Saccharomyces cerevisiae S288C: one gene and its partner. The protein of the gene in region 2 interacts with the protein of the main gene of each other region in a pairwise test. Each region holds a gene or a part of one and is shown on either strand. Other genes may lie near its edges.

Region 1 (3,791 bases), on a different chromosome or scaffold from region 2:
TCTGGGAAGATAGACGCTTTGAAAAAATTGCTGAAAACAATCATTGTTGACAAACAGGAAAAGGTGCTGATATTTTCCTTATTCACTCAAGTCCTGGATATTCTAGAGATGGTTTTGTCCACCTTAGATTATAAATTTTTAAGATTAGATGGTTCCACGCAAGTGAATGATAGACAACTACTAATAGATAAGTTTTATGAAGATAAGGATATTCCCATTTTCATCTTATCAACAAAGGCAGGTGGATTCGGTATTAATTTGGTGTGCGCAAATAATGTTATTATATTCGATCAAAGTTTTAACCCACATGATGACAGACAAGCTGCTGATAGGGCACATCGTGTGGGACAAACAAAGGAAGTTAATATAACCACTTTAATTACTAAGGATTCCATAGAGGAAAAGATTCATCAACTGGCCAAAAATAAACTAGCTTTAGATTCGTATATCAGTGAAGATAAAAAATCTCAAGATGTGTTGGAAAGTAAAGTTAGTGATATGTTGGAGGATATAATTTATGATGAAAACTCGAAACCGAAGGGAACCAAAGAATAAATAAATAAAAATATAGTAAAAAAGTAAATAGATAAGCAGAAAATAAACCAAAAAAATAACATATTTATTTTCTTCTGCGTGAACGCACCATGTGGAAAAAGAGAGTTGATAGAACAAAGGACAAAGAAATTTAGAACGGTAAAAATATTTTCTAGAGTATAATATACATATATGTGTATATATACATAGGTTAGTATGTATAGCTAGGTAATTTTAATCTGGGGAGAGAAATGGTGAACTTTTTTCAATTTATTGATTCGGTTGTTGATTGATATCTTGTGGTGCTGCTTCAATTTCAGCTTGAGTTTCTACTAAATTTTCAGGGACCATTGGATGATCAAGGTTAAATAAAACGCTACCAATAGTATTTGTAGAAATGGCAAAGCCCGCTAAAATGGGCACGGACTCAATCAAACCGGCCAAGAAACCAAATGAGGCATATTGGCCAGCGTGGAGATAAATATTTTCACGTCTTTGTATGTTGTCGAAATTTTGTAAACGTAAAACTTTCGTGAAGTAAATTTGAGTGATGAAAGGAGAAATTAAAATATGAAAAAGGATTGGTCCAATAAGTGGGAAAAAAGATATAACCAACAGCACAAAAAGAACCGACAGGCCTAACATGTACTTGACCAACTTGAATGGGAAATAGTAAGCCCAGAAATATATCGAGTTAATAGGTGCATAGTACTTGATTGGTTTGACTTCACTCAAATTCTCCTCTAAACCATTCTTCTCTAAGCACACCTCCACTAAATGATTATTAAAATGACTGAGTCTCATAAACAATAAAGTGAAAACATTTGCTTGCAAAAAGGAATGAAAAATGGCAATGAAAAGCCCAATAGGGCCCAGCACAATCAAAAAAGCTGTGTACATTGGCGTAATTGTAGCCCAATACACAAAGCTTACCAGGGCAAACATTATCAAGTAACTCGATAATATACCTAACATAGTCGTTGAGTAACTGCTCTTATTGGTGTTGAACTCTAAAAACCCTTTGAACGGGTACATGAATGCACCTCCTGTGAATGCATCTTTGAAAAAGTTCATTAGCACGTATCTGGTACGGCTCATAACTTTGCTGAAGTGCTTCTTGTAAACTTTATCCAAGTACTGATTGAAGGGGATGTTGACATATGGCAGTTTTTCATACGATTGGCCTCCGCCAAACTTGTACACCAAACCACCAATACCTGCCAGCGCTAATGAACCTGTAAAACTCATTTCCTGTTGTTGTTATTGTTTGTATAATGTACCTTTGTTCCCTACACTATAACAACACTTATTCGTGGCAAGAACGAAAATAAAAAATGATTTGAAACTTCCTTTTCCACATCTATATCTATATATATATGTATATGTATAATACTTATTACTATGATATTATTCCATGTGTCACAAAACCAGAAAGATCCCGTCGTATTATTGAGTCACGTGCTTTATTCCATGGCGGGTAATAAATATTAAAACAAGGGTTTTTTAAGTAAATGATTACATGCTAAGGAAGTGGTGAATAAGATTTGGCAAGGGGCAGGTCGCTAACCACAACATAGCATTCGTTGAAAAGGAAATCAACGTTACAAAGTGCAGTTTTTTGTATTATTTTCCTATTATCCTCTTCTTTTCCTTTGTTTCAGGCGTCGTTGCACCTTTTTGCTATACAAAAGCTCATAAAAGATTAGAAACCCCGGATATCGTCACAACAGCGGTATATTATAGTTATTTTGCATCTTTTTGGTAAGTCAGAAATTAGAAACAGTAGCTTACCAATTGAGTGAAAGTTTCCGTTCGTCATCTCCCTCTTTTGTTTTTTTTCACCTTTGTTTTTCTGTTTCTTCTATTTTTGTTTTGTTTTGTTTTGTTTTGTTCTCTCCCTAATTTGCATATAGGTAAACATCAAAGAAGTAATGCCCTACATCGGTGCTTCCAACCTCTCAGAACATTCATTTGTTAATTTGAAGGAAAAACATGCGATTACACATAAAGGTACGAGCAGTTCTGTAGCATCTTTGCAGACACCACCGAGCCCCGATCAAGAGAACCATATTGACAATGAATTAGAAAATTACGATACGTCTTTAAGTGACGTTTCAACCCCGAATAAAAAGGAAGGTGATGAGTTCGAGCAAAGTTTAAGAGATACATTTGCGAGCTTTCGGAAGACTAAACCCCCACCTCCTTTAGATTTTGAACAACCAAGACTTCCTTCGACAGCTTCTTCATCCGTTGATTCAACCGTATCATCGCCCTTAACGGATGAAGACATAAAGGAGTTAGAGTTTCTTCCGAATGAATCAACTCATTCTTATTCGTACAATCCACTTTCGCCAAATTCCCTGGCAGTCAGATTGAGGATTTTGAAGAGATCATTGGAAATCATAATACAAAACCCAAGTATGCTACTGGAGCCTACTCCAGATGATTTGCCTCCTTTGAAAGAGTTTGCGGGCCGTAGGAGCAGTTTACCAAGGACATCGGCTTCTGCAAACCATTTAATGAACAGAAATAAGAGCCAGATTTGGAACACTACTTCCGCTACTTTAAATGCATTTGTAAATAATACCTCTTCCTCCTCAGCAGCATCTTCTGCTTTATCTAACAAAAAACCGGGCACCCCAGTTTTCCCTAATTTGGATCCAACACATTCTCAAACATTCCATAGAGCCAACTCGTTGGCTTATTTACCTTCCATCTTACCTGAGCAAGATCCGCTGCTCAAACATAATAATTCTTTATTTCGTGGCGACTATGGAAACAACATAAGTCCTGAAAGGCCAAGTTTTAGACAACCCTTCAAGGATCAAACTAGCAATCTCCGCAATAGCAGTTTACTCAATGAGAGGGCATATCAGGAAGATGAAACTTTTTTACCGCACCATGGACCCTCTATGGATCTATTGAATGAACAAAGAGCGAACTTGAAAAGTCTTCTGAATTTATTAAACGAAACACTGGAGAAAAATACTTCCGAGAGAGCTTCGGATCTTCATATGATATCGTTGTTCAATTTGAATAAACTAATGCTTGGAGATCCCAAGAAAAATAATTCAGAACGCGATAAAAGAACTGAAAAGCTTAAAAAGATTTTGCTGGATAGTCTTGCAGAACCATTCTTTGAGCACTATAATTTTATTGGAGATAATCCGATCGCAGATACAGATGAACTAAAGGAGGAAATTGATGAATTTACAGGTTCTGGAGATACGACAGCGATAACAGATATACGGCCCCAA
Region 2 (5,222 bases):
CATAGAATTGGCCAGACAAACAGCGTCAAAGTTATGAGATTTATCATACAAGATAGCATAGAAGAAAAAATGCTACGCATTCAAGAAAAGAAGAGAACCATCGGTGAGGCCATGGACACAGACGAAGACGAGAGAAGAAAAAGGAGAATTGAAGAAATCCAGATGCTGTTTGAATAGTCATACCACATACTCATATATAAAGACTTTATTTATTATTATTTTCAACCCGAAAGAACTAATTATTCTTCAGCTACTTCATGCAACTTCTATTATCTTCCTTTTCCGTTACCCGTATTTTTAAGTTGCAATTATTAAAAAAACAATTAAGAAAATAAAACAGCGCCATAAGGCATGGACGATAGAAATACGAAGACGAAGAAAATCATCATCAGTCGGGATCAAATAAGAGATAATTTTGAAAATCGAAAGTTTTCATTATGACAGAAAGTGTAGGTGGAAATAAACTAGTAGATTTTTTGGTAAATGTTCAATCCATTTTGAATGCTGCCTCTGTGAAATGTCATGTAGTAGATGAAAGTTTTCCAGCCAAGTTCTTTGAGAAAAATCCGGATAAGATATATGAATCATATTGTAAATTCATTAAAAATAGAAGTAACTCTGAAGGTTTGATACGTAATGAAGATAAATTAGTTTTGACAACTATCAATAAGAGGTTTGAAAATGGAGAGTACGAACCCATACAAGGTGGGTTTTATAAGCTGTATCACGACATTAAGCTGGTTTGTACAATCCTCATTCACTTTTATCCTCAGGGTACAAGAAACTACCAATTAGTCGACAAGTTCTACAAATTTTCTTCAGAGCTTTTATTACGAGAATGTTGTAGGATAGGAATTGCTCTAACGCAAACTAATAATATTAAATCAAGAAGTGGTAAGTTGTTGAGCGGAAACGAGATGGATGAATACGACGATGACGATGCAACAGAACTAGACAAAATAATCTCTTATGATTTTATTAAGATTTCTATGAATTACACAGTGCCGATTTCTCAAACATATCAGATAAGAACGAAGGATATGGACCTTTTTTCTTCGATAATTTCTAAATCTAATCTTGACAAAAGACCTCATGAACTTCCTAATACAAACTTCAAAATAAACAACGTCTTACCTCAAACTGATATAGAAAACGAAGCTCCAAGATTAGGATTTGTAGGCGCTAATACTAGTAATATTCCGGACCCTACGTTACCACCAACTGAAATGATGACTAGATTTTTGCATCCAAATTGGTATGCTTTACCTACAACCGTCTGGCTAAAATATGGTAATTATAATTCTTGGGCACCTTCCTTTAATGAAAACGGCACCGTTGTGGATTCGACAACAAGGGGTCTTATTTGGCTTGAAAGAATTGGTTATATGGACTTGTATGAAAAAAATGAAAAGAAAGTAAAACAAGAAGAATTACTGAACACGAATGAAGAAGGCATAAACAGGAAGCAGAACGATGAAAACAACAAAAATGTTGACGGCAAAAGCAATGGCGTTCAGGACGATGGTGGTGATAATGATAATGATGCGACTATCGCTTCTGCAAATTCAGAGAGTACTGAGAATAAGGAACAATTCATAATCAAGCTTCAAAACTTATATAATTGGACACCATCTAATTACATTGGAGATGACGAAATTGAGAACTTTCGAAATGGCACACCAGATAAGTTGGTTTCAGACTCTCTCTTAAAACTTAAAAGACTTAGAAAGGAGAGGATTTTAAATAAAGTTTTGAAGCCTACTACGGAGGAACGAGAATTATACTTCAAAGTGAAAAGAATACTAAAGGAGGTTATCTTAGCAAAGAAGGTTTCCAAGGTTCCTATAAACAATGTAAGGGCCTTTCCAGTATTACAAACAAACTATAATGGTAGCATACCTGTGGTAAGGGCGCAACCAGGTCGTAAACGGAAACACAAGAAATAAATAGTGTCAGCGGTAGTGGAATCAAAGATAAATAATGAATTATCTTTGTTTTAGTTTCATGAAAGCTCATCAAGTCTTTTTTGACTAATGTATGTTTATATTTTGATATTAGATAAAGTATGCATTTGTTCTGAAGGCTATGCATACGTAAGTATATACTTGGGTTGTATTATGCAGAATAAAGAAATGAGAGAAAACAAGAATCGAGAGAAAACGACACACTTGACAATAAATAGGTTCCATTAAAAATGGATGTCGGCACCTAAGAGATAGGAAATCACCAAATAGCAATTCAAGCTCCCGATTAAAGCCCATACGAAAACAGAGGTATAGGTCAACAAACGACTGTTAGTAAAATCAACTATTTTACTGTGCTTGGAGTTCAATGGAGTGGTTTCATCAGCAATGGCGTTAACATCGGCAGGTGCTCTTACCACACCATTTTCGTCATGAACAACCATCAACTTTCTATTTGCGGTAAAATAAATTAAAGGAGCGGATACGATTGGTAAAATTAAGGACAAGACCACTTGAGAAAAATTCAAAATATCTGAAATTCCCTTTTCCCCCATGGTTAAAGTAACAAATAAACATGGTACAATGGCAATCAATCTGGTGCACAATCTTGTGGCCCAAGGTGGTAAAGACCACTGTAAAAATCCCTCAGAAACGATTTGCCCGGCAAGTGTACAGATGATACCGGCAGATTGACCAGAACATAACATGGCCAATGCAAAGATTAACCCTGCCGCAGGAGATATGTAGTGGACCAGTAATTTGTAAATAGATAACAAATCAGCATCCTCTGCCTCAGGTTGGCCTGATAAAGTAGCACCTGCAACAATTAAAATAGCGGAATTAACAAAGGTGGCAATTAAGAACAAAGAAATGATTAGTTCAGCGTACGCATAGTTTAACGTATATTTTATAGCGCTTAAACTTGGGCGGGCATTAACCTTACCGTATTTCTTCAAATCGTAATCGTGCAATCTTGGTTTAACAATGGATGAGCCCAAGTATAATGAATGAGGCATCACAGTGGCACCTAAGATACCCAATGAAATGTAAAGAGCTTGTTGTTCCTTAAAAATGATATTTGAAGGCAAAAACCCTTTAAACAATTCAGCTTTGTCTGGGATTGAAACTTTAAACAGCTCCAAAACAAAGCAAATGCAAGTTCCAATGACCAAAATCCCAACGCCAAATTCGAAAACCCTAACTTTTTTTAAGGACTGGCCGTTTGGTGTGTAGAACATTAAAATTACCAAAACATCTAGCACCGTTAATAAGACACCCCAAGTTAGTGGTATTTTGAAAAGAATTTGTAAAGCGATGGCAGTGCCTACAACCTCGGCCAGATCAGTAGCAATGATTGCCACTTCAGCGAAAAGGTAAAGGGTATAGTTTAGCTTTTTAGGCAAATTATGACGACAGTTTTCAGCCAAATCATAGCCAGTGATAGTACCCAGCTTCACACAGAGACATTGCAAAAGTACGGCAAAAATGTTGGATATAAAAATAGAGAATAATAAGGTATATTTGTATTGAGCACCACCGGAAACACTAGTGGCATAATTTCCTGGGTCCATATAAGCCACACTGACTAATATCCCTGGCCCAATAAATTTGGCAAATTTTTGAAGAATCTGCATATAAGATCGCATTTTTTTTCTCTTGTGATGCTACTACTGTTATCAATTAGCTTGGAAGAACGATATATTTAAAGGAGTTCAGAAGGAAATAATAGTTTGGGTATGACAACTGAAAAAAAAAATGAACTAATATATAAAGGAACCCCGTATATTTATGTGGAGTGATCTTTGTCTTCTAGCTCCTTTGAAATAAATATTCAATTATGCAACCTCACAGAATCAGATGAATGAGATATATACAGTATAAATACCTTTAGTCGCATGACAACAGGATGTCGTAACAATGCAATATTAGAGCATTTTTAAGTTGACCCAAAACGGAAATTTCAAGGTGCGGAAACTGGAAGAGAGGCAGGGCGGGCAACAGGGTGCGGTTACCATGAGTTACAAACAATGGTCTATTATGAAGTAATCTATTGTGCTGAGTGGTGATAGTGCACCCGATCATCAGGGGCTGTCTGGCGTGAAGAGGCACCATTCATTTGTCGTGGCTTCAATGTGTCCCGGTTTCTTCACATGCGCTCGCAAGGCTTGCAAAAGACTGGAAGAAGGGCTTGTGGCATCGTCCCTCGATCGTAACCACAGAGTTTCTTTGGCAAAGTTATCGCTGTCATGCTTAACAATTTTTTCATTCTTCAGGGTATAGACGTAGTTGTTGGTATACTCGGAAAAATGCATGAGTTTCGGCCTTGTTTTGTGCATGCAGGATGCTTTCTTTATATAATTATCAGTTACTTTTTTTTTCGAATTTCGTGGAATGGTCATGTCCACGGTATTGTTTCTTTTACCGTAGGTTTGCTGAAGCTTTATTAGTTCCTTTTTTTCTGTATTTGAAAGCTGTCTTTCGTTGGGCATTCCCCTTTTATTGGCATCTCCACAGCTAGTACGTTTGGCCTCAAGTAAGTTTTCGCTCAGTTTCTTGTTGACGTTTCTTATTTTTGTGATCATAAAAGGATTAGAAATAGAAGCGTCCTTAGAAAGTTCTAAATCCTCGTTCTCTGGAATAGTTTCTATATAGTTATAAGTTAATGACGAGGGTAATGTTGAGGATCCAGCTCCTGCTACTTCACTATTTTCGCTTAGTTCTTGTTGGAAATTATGTCGCCAATTAGTACTGTCCTCGGAAGCCATAGACCCGGAACTCGAGCTTCTATAACTTGAAATGGTCAGCTGAGTTTGTTCGTCAAGAGCTTTATCCTCGCTAAATTTTGTAGGTGAAGGAGTAGCAGCGACAATGGTCGTATTCTCTAAGTTTGCTTCATCGTAAAAAGTTGGTACTATCAAATCTGAGTTTTTTTGTGGGATGTCAGTCTTGTCTTTACCACTAACAGCACCACAGCCCTTTGATATTTCATTCTCTGCGTCGGGTGTAGGTATCACCAGTGCGGGAGAAGTTTTTTCGTTGATAGAAGGCTGAACATGTTTATCTCCCAGCATATTTGTTTCGATGCCAATTCTCTCCTCCAATAACAACTTTAACTTATTCTCTATCTTCTTAAATATCACTTCAAAACTTTTGATCATCACGTCATTTTTCTCTGGTTCGATATTTACGTCAAGAAGCTTTGTATCGCAATTTAAATTAATAAACCAAACCATAGGATCTAGTAAAGAGAAATCTCTA

Evidence for each region. The genes of interacting proteins can lie anywhere in the genome.
Region 1: the proteins of SMF3 (region 2) and LDS1 interact in a protein complementation assay, tested with the Saccharomyces cerevisiae proteins (one large-scale study listed by BioGRID).

Annotation. Positions count from the first base shown.
Region 1 is NC_001133.9:117,760-121,550, forward strand, and holds LDS1 (Lds1p), read right to left. Parts: upstream 1,783-3,791; coding exon 805-1,782; downstream 1-804. Other genes in the region: DNA-dependent ATPase FUN30, read left to right, coding at 1-555; serine/threonine protein kinase PSK1, read left to right, coding at 2,466-3,791. UniProt on the Saccharomyces cerevisiae protein: Involved in spore wall assembly.
Region 2 is NC_001144.5:208,324-213,545, forward strand, and holds SMF3 (putative divalent metal ion transporter SMF3), read right to left. Parts: upstream 3,611-5,222; coding exon 2,189-3,610; downstream 1-2,188. Other genes in the region: DNA helicase RAD5, read left to right, coding at 1-177; RSC58 (Rsc58p), read left to right, coding at 438-1,946; mismatch repair protein MLH2, read right to left, coding at 4,046-5,222. UniProt on the Saccharomyces cerevisiae protein: Has a role in controlling the cellular iron ion levels. Mobilizes vacuolar stores of iron in conditions of low iron levels.